2 linked regions of the Drosophila melanogaster genome follow. Changing the gene in region 1 together with any one later gene gives a genetic interaction. Each region holds a gene or a part of one and is shown in the gene's direction. Other genes may lie near its edges.

What was found. A genetic interaction does not mean that the proteins touch.
Region 2: of bnl (region 1) and grh, changing one suppresses a phenotype caused by changing the other (phenotypic suppression), as found in Drosophila melanogaster (one study listed by BioGRID).

What each region holds. Positions count from the first base shown.
Region 1 is NT_033777.3:19,833,422-19,839,375, reverse strand, and holds the start of bnl (branchless), read left to right. Parts: upstream 1-2,558; 5' UTR 2,559-3,114; intron 3,115-5,954.
Region 2 is NT_033778.4:17,799,578-17,805,932, forward strand, and holds the start of grh (grainy head), read left to right. Parts: upstream 1-2,668; 5' UTR 2,669-3,814; intron 3,815-6,355. UniProt on the Drosophila melanogaster protein: Transcription factor that binds a CNS-specific regulatory element of the Dopa decarboxylase (Ddc) gene. Also interacts with sequences adjacent to other transcription units, including Ultrabithorax (Ubx) and engrailed (en).

The sequences.
Region 1 (5,954 bases):
TGGAAGTCAGGTTTACGAGGATCCCTTCCAGAGTTGGGGGCTACCCAAAACCAGCTGCCATAGATCGGGCTATTTAAACACCTTAACGGACTTCACTTGCCACATTTTCGGTCGGCCACGGTTTTTAATTAATCTAGCATCTTGGACGACTTACGCGGAAAAAGGGTCAGAGGTCGTTGAGGCGAGCACATTAGGCTGGAACACTCGACTGGCGGGCTAATTAAGTCATTAGCCCGAAAATGTCCTGCTGCTGCTGCTGCCGCTGCTTCTGCGCATAATTAATCATTTTAATTGTCTGACTCCTTGCTAAAGGACAAGGGGAAACCAAGGGACAATGTGGAAAGTGCAAAGGGCAGATCGACATTCCAAAGGTTGCCCTCGAAAACTGCGGGGGAGTTCTCGCTGTTGTTGGTTATTTATTGGAATAGGCACATTTGGCATGTGCTTCCCCGCGTTTCACCAGGCGTCAAATTCTCGGGCACAAAATGTTTTCATTCCGGTTAATTGAGTTAATTGAGTTTTGAGGCAACCCTTTTTCTGTGGCCTGGCGAAATCACTTAGGCCACTTACGAGCAAGCATTTAGAAATACATTTGAAAACTAAATTAAACACAGGGTCTAAGTAAATTTGCTTATTTCGAAGTATGCAACTTTAGCATGGCTTTACTCGCGCTTCAAGTGATATATTTAAACTCAATATTCTAAATTCAAACTGTTTAAAATTTACAATTTGGACAGATCTACATAGGTACTATTTCTAAACAAGCAAAAGCGCAGTCCACAAAATTCTTAATATGTTTCATAAATCATTTCTACACAACATAATCTAACAAATATTTTCAAAAAATTGTAAGTACCAAACACGATAGATGACACGATAAACAATATTTTATGGCTTTAATAAACAACATTGCCTTCTCAAAACTGCTACTTTATAGCAGTTATATAGTCTTAGCGACAATGTAAAACTTTGCCAATCAGTAGCAAGCCCGCACTTTCCACCGGCAACACCCACCCACTGAATGACGCTGTCATCAAGAATGACGTAGGCGACTACCCCGGAATATTTCTGCAATTTCTGTAGTGTCAAGTTGAAGTTCATTCATACACACATATGGGTATCTGCACCATGTGATTTTTTATAAGCGCCTTCTAAATAGATAAGATAAACTTGTATTCAACGAAATTCGCGCATAGCTGCCTTAACTTTTAAATTTGCCGTGTGACAGTATTTTTGGGGCTAAATTTTGGTCAACATCTAAAATTAGCAAAAATTTCGGTTGGTCAGAAATAGGTTTTGTGGTTTATTGCAGCCACAGGCAAATGAGTTGGTCAAAGTTCAAACCTTATCAGTGCGAATACAACGATGCGATTAGCACCTATCGTGAGTTGGCTTTCCCACGCGACTGATTCACTGGCAATGTTTAGCCGAATAATAAAGGGTACTGGGTGACGCTTGTTGTTGCACTTTGTGTTGTTAGTTAATTGGTATTTGTGCAAGTCCACGCTACCTGGCGAAATACGTCAAAAGCACTGGAAAAGGTCTACGCGCCAAAAAGCACAACCGCCACCAAACGCAATCCAATCAAAAACAAAAAGCAACTGCAATCTCTCCCTTTCACAATGTCTGTTTGAAAACCGTCACGTGATTTGTCGCCGTCGACTTAGGGGGCTCATTATAGTGACAGAACTCTAACAAAAATTAGTAGACTACTGTATTTTATATATATATATATATATATTTTTTTTTTTATATATAGAACATTTTAGTTGAGCTTTATGTTCGAAAGTTGTTTTTCTAGTGACAGATAACACCTTGTAGCCTACATTGTGGCCCAAAAAATTTCAGAATTTTCGGTTAGATAGTTACCATGTAACCGTTTAAGATATTTAGAGTAAGAAAAAGTAGGCTTCATAAATGATTAAGATGACTACAGTTAACCACCCCAAACACTAACAGAATTTGTTTGTTTTACTTAAAATCCAAAAATAATTTTCTAAATACAACAAATAAGTACACAAAAAATAAAAAAAAATTGATTCATATTTTGCATTTAATGTTTGAGTACAATGTTGAGCTAGTAACACAGTAGTTTTTAACCACTCATTAAAATTTATAATTTATTCAGCTACAAAGTATAAATTAGCAACGAACGAAATACAAATCTTTTATAACGGTGTTTTTGATTCTGACGCTAATGTATGATGAATCAACGAGTTGGCAGCGTTTCAATCACTTGAGCCGCAGTTTCGTCAGATCGGAAGGATGAATTGGGAATAACAGATAAACCCCATATCACACCTAGGGAACCGACCGACCACCATTCACTACAGCTGACCACCGACCACCATTCTTGGCGTTTACCTTACTCGCCCACTACTTGCTCTCACTCTCTCCGTCTCCCTCCCGCCGAACCGCACCGCATCGCACTCTCTCTCTCGTGCTCGTTCCGTCGCAAACGTGCTCGGCGTGAACGCACGAAGCGTCGCCTCATCGACAGGGTCTTTTTGCTCATGGCTTCAGTCTCTGACTAGCACGCTTGGGGAACACACAGTGAGCGGAGCGTCCGCAGTCGCAGTAGCACTCGAAGTCCGCTTATCCGCATCCGCAGCGTTTTCGAATTTTTCAGACCTACCATTCGATCCGATCCGATCCATCTGGCACATCCTAACCATCTCTAATCGTAACCCCATCATCGTGATCGCGTCCGTAATCGCTCCGTTTTAACGTACTCGATGTTCCGGTTTTGTGTGCAATCGTTTTCAAAGGAGATCGAAACAATAATCTCGGCGGATAGGAAATTTGAAACACGAATGTTCGTTTCGCAATCCAAGAGAGTCGTTACAATTTGAAAAGCCCGCAATAAAAAAAAAAAATCGTTTAGATGCGAGCAATTCGAAGATCGGAAAATATATAAAAAAATAAATATATATATATGATTTGTGCTGTGTTTGAAAAAGGAATATAAGAAAAAAATTATGAAAATGTTGAATTGTTGTTGCCGTAAGTTTTAAAGTGTGCAAAGTGCAACTCTCTGAAAATCAACGAAGAATACAACGCGTCCAAAAAAAGAATCGTAAAACTGAAAAAAAAGCAAACAAACATAAAACCTAGGTGCGTAATTTTCTGTTTCAACGCTGTTACATAAGTTCTTTTTTTTAATAAGTTTGTTGTTCCTCCAAGTATTTGTTCGAATGTTGCAAAATATTTCATTGGATTTCGGTCTTTGGAGCTTAGCAAAAGCAAGCCTAAAATTATTGAAAGTTTCAAGTTTGCCGAACGGAAAAAATATATGTTTTTCTGTATTATTAGATTTGATGTTTTGAAATACTAAAATTTATAAAGAGTTTCAGTGTTCTTTGGTCGCGCAATGTTGGGCATTTAAATAAAATATTTTGAATACGTTGAAATGTGGCAATTTGTTTGGTAACTTTCAAAATAAATTTAAAACATTTTCCACTTGGCAGCGGGCCGAGTAATAAGTGTATTTAAATGACCCACGAGGGAAAGTAATTAAATAGCAATATGTATAAAAACGAAATAAATTGATTTCAACAAACAAATAGCAAGCTAAAGCAAATGGGCAAAAACTTAATTTATATTAGTGGCATGCTAATTGAAATAATTTAGTTCATATTTGATTTGATTGATCAATACCTGTGCAGAATGATATTCACTTAAAACGTAATCTGATTGCATTTAGGTATAAGCGAATTAAATTTGATTTGCAGCCTAGTTTTTCCAAGTACTTTTCCGCGTTTATCTGCCCCAAATAAACAATTGGTAAAGCAAACAAAATGTAGCAAAATGTTTTTTTTTGCCAACCGGTGAAAGCAAACGACCTTAGGAGAACCCACTCTATGAAAGCGAAATTCATATAAATTTAAGCACACGATCTTTGGGATTATTTATAGTTTTTTTTTTTGCAAAACGCATATACATTTGCGAATCTTTATCGCCGTCTTGAAATGTATCTGTATCTGCGTATATGCGAATTGTGCGTATCTCTATTTGCAAACGCACGCAGGCGCTTTTAATCTCATTTCGCTAACTTTTTCGCAATAAACTTTTTTTCTGCTCACTCTGCGCGTGCACTTTTTGTCCTATAAATTGGCGGCGCTGACTATTATCTAACATTTGTGCGCTATTATCTAAGCTGGCTTGTTGTTCTTGTTCTTCCTGCGGATGATTTGCGCTGCGTATCTGTATCTGTATTTTGTATCTGTGTGCGAATTTGCGTTATTGCCGCACGCTAGTATGCGTCGGGTTCAACAACTGCTAATCACATGCCGGATCACAGTTTGGACAGCCGAGCGACAGACAAAGTGCGAAATATGGGGATCGCGATAAAGAATAAACTGAATGAATTTCGGCTGTGTGGACTAGCGGGTGATATCCTTCAAAATTAATGGCAGCGAAGAGTGCTTAACTCAAATCAGGGTCATTATTTGTAGAAGCTATTAACTATTTGGTATTTTCAGATTTTTTCTGGTCATTTTTCAAACTTATCTGGGGTCTAGGGAAAATATTAAAATTTTGGTTTATTACCTTTTACTTTCCTTTCATAACTTTTTTATTGGTTTACAATTGTTCCAGCAATAAGGGCTATTAGTTAGTATTATAATCAAGTTAATCTTTTTTGCTAACTTACATAAGCCATAATAAATCTTATCTTCTAATTCTAATTGTATAACTTATTAATAACCAAAAATAAGCGATAAAGATTCATACATTAATTATACATAATTGAATTGTGCCTCTTCAAATGCCGATCAAATTTTATTTCCTTTGCCGTTAAAGTTCTCACGTCACAATTTCATCAACTAAAAAATGAATATCCCCCAAGGGCAAAGAAAATAATTGGCTAATTGTTTAGTACCGCTTACGAAACGGTTTCTGGCTACGTCAACGATTGAATAATTGAAAAGACCACCGTAAATTTAGACATTAAGACATCAGTTTATGCAGAAAAACCAATTGAAGTGATTAAATTGCATGGGCAGTCCCGAATTAATTGAAAAGTAAATTTATATTTTGGTAGTAAAAGAGTTGCGCGTGGAATTTATATTTCCCCGGAGACTGTCGTGCATGCCTTCGGACTTCAGATGTCATAAAGCCAGCCAATTATCAGGTTTAGTTCTGAAACGCACGAGTTGGGTAACTTTTCGCTTGGGCCTGTGACACATTTACAAATTGTGCCTGATTGATGGGGCAGCAAGCCCAGTGGAGCCAAAGTTTGAAATACAACGATCATAATTCGTAGATAGATAAAGCTTATCGCATGCAAAAGAAAAAAGTTTTATGGCCGTGCGTAAATAGTTTTGCGGTTTGTTTTTCTTTTTGCCCAAAAGTGGCGCATAACACTCGGAATATAAAGTCAACCGAAGTCGGCGAAAGAAGGCGGAAAATGCGGGAAACTCAGTAAAAATGTAGCGTTTGTTTTAATTAAGCGTGAACACTAGACCACATAATGTGCGGCATACATTTAGAGACGCACACACACGATCGCACATGGCAACAGCTTTAGGTACACCGCTCAGTTAAAAAGCGAGCAACAAAAAGGCAAAATGAAAACGAGAAAATCGTCGCGTATTTTACTCAGGTTGTTGTTATTCTTGTTGTTTCTCTTTTTTTTTTGACGGTTTTCCTTCTTTTTTTACACATATATATATATTTTTTTTTTGGTTGTTTGACGCATTTTAAAAATATCCTAGACGCAATTGTTGTTTTGTTGGCTGTCTGTTTGTCACATTACTAATACGTCGCGTTGTCTTTGATTTCGTCGTTTTCGGTTGGTTTTATTTTAAAACGACGGTTTTCCTTTTAATTTTCGCACGTAAAGTGCGTGACTTTTAATTAGACTACAATAAATGTGCGAAATTGTGTGGGAGATGAGTCTGCCAGTGGGCAGTGTGTTGGTGAAGGCAAGAGATACATTTTAGGTGAGATACATG
Region 2 (6,355 bases), on another chromosome or scaffold:
CTTAAGTTGGTTTCCTTTGACCTTAGGTTGTTTGTGTTCGAGGCACAATATTTTAAAGTACAATATTAATGTGTGTACCTTCGTTGCGGGGAGCAGGGAATGTATTTTCGTAGCTAGTTGGTGTGCCTAGTTTTAATGCATCTATCGATACAAAACCCCATCCATCACACTCTGACATGAACAAGAACAGCAAACACAAGTATATTAACTTTACTAGCAATTAAACAACATCTAGTTTACTCAAAGCATATATGATTTCAATATTGTTTTCCACCAATCGAGCCAACGTTACTTACTTTTCTTATTCTCAAATCTTAAGGTGCTCAGCATAAGGACACCAAATGAGTTTTTCTTTAATATAGAGATATTTTTGGAATACCCCCGCATAAGTTCCTATATTTTTATAACAGCTTAGACACGATCGAAGGTCCGATTTCTGGATTCATATGGTAAATCACATCTCCGCCTAGTCCTTTGAAACTTGACTTTCACGCGTCACTCAGGCTGCTACTTGGAATTGAGAATTCGACAAACGCCTTTGCATTATAGTGTTCGATGAGATCGGCAGATCCGCGGATCGGTGAGAATCCGAGAACCAACATCAACGTTTCCATGGTTTGTTACATTAATTTTAGGCAATCAGGTTAGACAAAAATGTCCTGGACAAAGGGACGCGCGGAGGGATGGAATGTTTGTTTGTGAATGCTTCTCTTCGGTTTCTTACTTTTGCATAACGGACAGATATAAGACTTTTTGAAGAAAAAAACCAAATATATAAGTACATTTAATGCGATTGTTGTTTGTTTTTAGTTATATACACCGCCACACTCGCACACAAAACACACACACCGATACATGCATACATATATATACTACTTAGCGGTATATGTACAAAAACGTAATCAAGCATTAGTGAAATGTTTCGACCAGTTAAAAACCACAAATTAAATTTATTACATGAAAATCAACTAATGTGTAAACGCAAAAACGGCAAAATCAATAAATAAAAAATGGATTAAACTAAGCCTAAATTTAGTTTTAAACATTTAATATATTGCAACAATAAACCGAAATGAAAATAAAACTCAAATTCAAACTTGAGATGCAAGTGTTTGTAATTGGGCTCCTGGAACTCAACATATTACATTAAATATTTTTAATTTTATCTTTATTTATTGTTACTTATCATCATGAATGTACTTTTTAAATATTTACTGTAAAATTGCATTTTACATAAATATTTTACATTGCGTAGAATGTCTAGTGCTTCAGTGAAAACTAGCGCCCGCTGCTTTACGTTCTTAACCACAGTTCCACGCGTGCGCAGCGCCAAAAGACAAACAACGTGAATTGGTGAGTGCGGGATCCAAGTGGGGGGAGCTCGGAGGAAAGGAAGCTGGGGGGAGTCACCCTTTACCATGGCGGAAAGCACACAAGCACCGTCCGTCGGTTCGTCCGCCGATCCACACGACACAGCGCTGATTGCCGCGCCGCCTGGCGAGGTGAGGTTGTAGGAGCCCGACTGAGGTTAACCGAAAGCCAGGCCGAGAGAACGGAACAGAGAGCGGCGGAGGCTGCGGCGGCACGGCAGCTACTTGGCGTTTTCGATTGTGGTACATGCACAACTATTTTACGTATGTATGCCACACGGAGAAAAAAATCCTTCATTTCACAGTGCTAACAATTCGAGTTGATTTATTTGATTTTATGTTAAATATATGCAATATTCGTAAATTTTTTTAATATTTAATCATACAAAGTGCTTTAGTGATTTAGCTTGTGTATAGGAAACCTATCAACAGTATTTTATATAAGAATTAAGAGTTGAACTATATTAATTATCTGAACTGCTTAACCGCGGAATAGTTTTCAGAAAGTGCATCTTTGTATCCAGTAATTTTTTGCAGGGACTTCTCTTGGCATGCGGTGATCTCGGTCTTTCTCTCCACCTCTCTCCCGCTGTTGTGTGTGTTTGTTTCTCTACCTGATGCCCGATTGCACTACCACTTTCACGCGGTTTACAAGCCGAATGACAACAACAAAAACAGAACAACAAGGCGGCGAGTTCGAAAGCGAAGTAGAGTGAACCGAGCAGCGAATTCGAATTTTCGACGATGAATGCAATGCCGCAGCACAGAAATAAACGCAAAGTCCGGGAGATACGAAATGCAGGAGCGGTTTGCCCGTGTCGAGGGTGGCTGTGGCTCTCTTTCTTGCCCTCTCTCTTTCTCTCTCTTTTGATCTGCCATCTCCCTTCGCCGCAAGTGCATGCTGAAGTGGAAGGTTCGTTGCCTAAGTCTTTTGTACCTGCCTGCGTTTCGGCCTCTGCAGGTGCACCCACACACACACACACAGATGGAAGCACTGGGCTACCTGTGTTTTAGATCGCACTTGTATGGGTGTTTGGGAGTGTAGAGACAACATCATCGATTCGAATGAATTTGAGTGGCGCTGCGCTGCCGGCGTCGCTGCCGCGTTCGCTCAATATCAGTTACGAAAGAGATGAAACCATAAAAAGCAATAATAATCGAGCGCTCTCTAACCAGCGCCGCGAACACAGACATCACCTTGCCACCAATACAACTGCACGACGACGTCGGCAGAGGTGGCAGCAGCGGCGGCAGCAGCACATTCAACAGTTGAACAATCTCCAATTGACTCTTTGGGCATTATAGCCAAGAGCCGAGATCCAGCGACAGCGACGACAAGTTTTCCGCGCACACGGAAAGTCAGCAAGTTAATACACCGAAAATATATAGTTTCAAATCCGACTAATCGTTTCAAATCGAAATTACCTGTGAGTGCGCGTGTGTGTCGCGATATTTGCGAAAAATCCAAAAGTTTCTACGCCAAACAAACAGCAAAAAGTCGCGCTTAAACTTTTTCGAAATTAAATAAAACACACACACGAATTTCAGCCACGAAGAGGAAGAGAAGGCTGAAAAAGCGAAAAAAAACCTCGTGTGTGTGTGCGTGTGTGTTGAGTGCGAGAGTATCTGTGTGTGTGTACGTGTGCATGTCTCTCGGAGAGCGTGAGCTTAAAGTGTGCCTGTGTGTGTGCGCTTGCGAGCTGGAATGAGACGCCATCAAAGCTGAGCAGCGAATAATAAAATGCAAAATAAAAATAGTGATTAATAACAGCAGCCAGAACCAGCAGCAATAACAAATGCTAGTGCGGAAAGCGCGTAAAAAATAGTGAAAATACTCATAGAAAAATAGAAAAAACAACAACAAATTGGCTTGAAAACGCAAATGCCAGGCGCAACGCCCCCGAACCGACCCGCCCCCTCAACTTTTGCGCCCTCCAGTAGCAATAGCAGCAATATGAGCAGCAGCAACATCAAATGTTAGGCCAAAATGCACAAACCGCCAGCAACAAAGGCAGCACCAAGCGAACGAAACAACAACAGCTCCACATACCACAAAGAGTGGCACATTAGAAGCGGCCAAAAGCAGCCAGCCGAGAGCATTGTGTAAGCCAAAGGCCCAGAGAGCCAGGCTAAAAGCCCCCAGACGCACAACAACAACAACAACAACTAAAACAGCACAAAGAGTGGCGAAAGGTGCACCCACCAGCAAAACAGCAACAACGGAGCAACCAACAACAGCAGCAGCAGCAGCAGCAGCCACATTTCAGTTACAGCTCCAGACTCCCAGGTTGCAGACTCCCAAAGCAAACAGACTCCAGTCCACGATCCAGCTCCAGTTCCACCGATCCGATCCACTGCTCCAGCGTGCTCGAGTGCCATAGATCCTCACCAAGTGCCAAAATCCGCATCCTGATCCCAAGAGCTCAAGGCACCCCGGCCCAAAAGTGAGTAGTACTTAGCCTACCAAGAAGTAATTATAAACGCATCAGGCTATGTAGCCCTGGTCGGTTCATGGAGGGATTACACCGTCAGAAATATAGCACCCTATTGACCATTTGGTTTTCGGCTTATAGATCCCTTTTTTCGGGAGATTCCATCACAATAGCTGGTATTCCCAATAAAGAGAGCAATAAAAGCGGGCATTTTTTGGGCACTACTAGGGTGTAGAAACTTTTCAAAAATAAATATTTTTCAAAACTTGATATTTTTAAAAAACATATGGTATTACCAAACTATAAGATATATTTTAGCTAGATTTATACATAGTACGTCAAGTTGATTCGATGGAGTTAATAGAAAAATGGTAATTGGATATTATTTCGATATTATTTGACAACGACAATCTCATAGAAATATTTTTAAACAATTTTGCTGGAGATGTAGGCATAAAATCCATTTAGTTCGTGCGGTTTTAAATTAAAATGCATTCTGCATGTTTTTTTAATAAGTTTTATTATATCTATACGGCTAGGCATTTTAAATGATTTCAAATGTATTGAAACTAAACGATTTCATTACCCTGCTGGCCAGTGTTGCTTTTGAAAGCCTTCGTTCACAGTGGACACCCTGTATGTTGTGCAGACGTAGCCTAAGTCTCTTGGTCCCAGCCTCAACTCGTGTTGTTGTTGTTGTTGTTGTCATTGTTGCTGTTGCTGTTGCCGTTGTGTTGTTGGTGGTATCTTTCGCGCACACATTCCTCTTTGTTTGGTTTTATTTTGTATTTCGTATTTCGAAGTGGCCGCTGCGCAGCGGCAGCGGCAGGTAAGTCGCACAGGTATTGGTATTGCTGTCATATTGCCGTTGTGCTCCCAACAATACCTTGCTAGAGCGGGAGAGTTGGCCATAAAGAGCGGTAGCGAGAAGGGATCAAGACGCCTCTGTCTCGGTCTCGGCCTCTGCCTCTGCGTCGACGTCTACTGCGCAGCCTTCTTGTTCGAAAATCGATGATGTTGCCCAGTGTTTGTGATTACGTTTTCCCCTGGACTTTTGTGCTGCCTTTTGCCTCTTATGTTCTCAGCTTCTTTTTATTATGATTTTTATTTTCTTTCTTTTTTTTTTTTTTTTGATTTTTTCCCTTCTTGATGATGGTGATCAATTTGGGGCTGCGATTATGGTACAGTAAAATGAACATCTACGCAGCACTCACACCGCCAGACACACAGATACATTCAGCCGTGAGATACACACGCACACAGCGAAACAGGCACATGTAACCCACACACAAAAAAAAGGGGGAACTTCGTGAGAGAGTTATTTTATTTTCGTGTTCGTGTTAACGTTTATTGTTTTTCTTTTCTTTAGCCTTTCTTCGTTTCTTCGGGACTTCTTGACTCCGTCTTGCAGCCGTTCCCGTTCCCCTTCGCGCTCGCCACCCCTGCCCCATCCATGCACGCCTTTATTTCCCTGAACATTCCCAAATACACGGAGAGAAAAGGGGATGCATTGATGGTGATATTATGAGGATTTATTTATGCATATAATTATTCTTAAAGAGGCTAAGAAGTCAAAAGCTAAAATAAAATCGTTTCAATGAGTTTCTATATCATCAGATTAATAATATAACTCAAAGTTTTGAATCGACATGGCATTTCTTGCCGTGTACCATCTACCAACTCTCCAGTCTCAGTCATTGGTTATTGATGCCCAACAACTCTGACCGTTGATGTCTTAGGGTTACGCTGCGCATTTCTTCTCTTGTCTTTTCTCCACCTCTCCCATCTACCCCTCTCCATCCCCCCCCTACATTCACGCGAAGTAAGGTAAAGATACGTAAAATCCAAATTTCAAATTATGTCAAATCTTAATGGGATTTGAAATGGAATTGCTTTCGGTATTCACTGTGTATCTGAAATCGGTGGTATCGGGGGGAATGGTGATCGTGGTTTGGGGGATAATAAAGAACGAATGACCATAGATCTCGTTGTAGGCGTTGTCTGTATGCAAAGGTTAGATGGAGGGCTTATTTTCACATGTGGTGACTTCCAGTCGATAAAATCGAAGAAAATTAGTAATGATTGTTTTGTGAGAAGGTTGATTTACTCATATAGTGATCATACCTGCATAAACCCCAGGAAGCCAACGTAGGTAGATGTATTAGACTAGATTTATTTGTTTCGACACTTATATTGCAAACACACTGCTCAAGGAAAACCGACTGTTAATTTATCAAGGTTCTATAGTTATAAATATGCAAATTGCTTTCGCCGCGAAAGATTTCCTTATGGTGATCCAGTATTGAAGCAAATATGTCTATACGTTGTTGAACAATTTTTGCATATACGTTTTAACGTGATTTACAGTTTATTGTTAAGCCAATCAATAACAGTAATTGCTCATTAATTACCTTGTATTACACTTGTGTTCGACGACTTGTTTTGATGATCAAATAGATTTAAAACTTACACCTTACACAGTAATAAGCAATATTTAATAATTTTCTTGCTAATACTTGTAAAAAAATATATCTTGCTACATATGCTCTATGG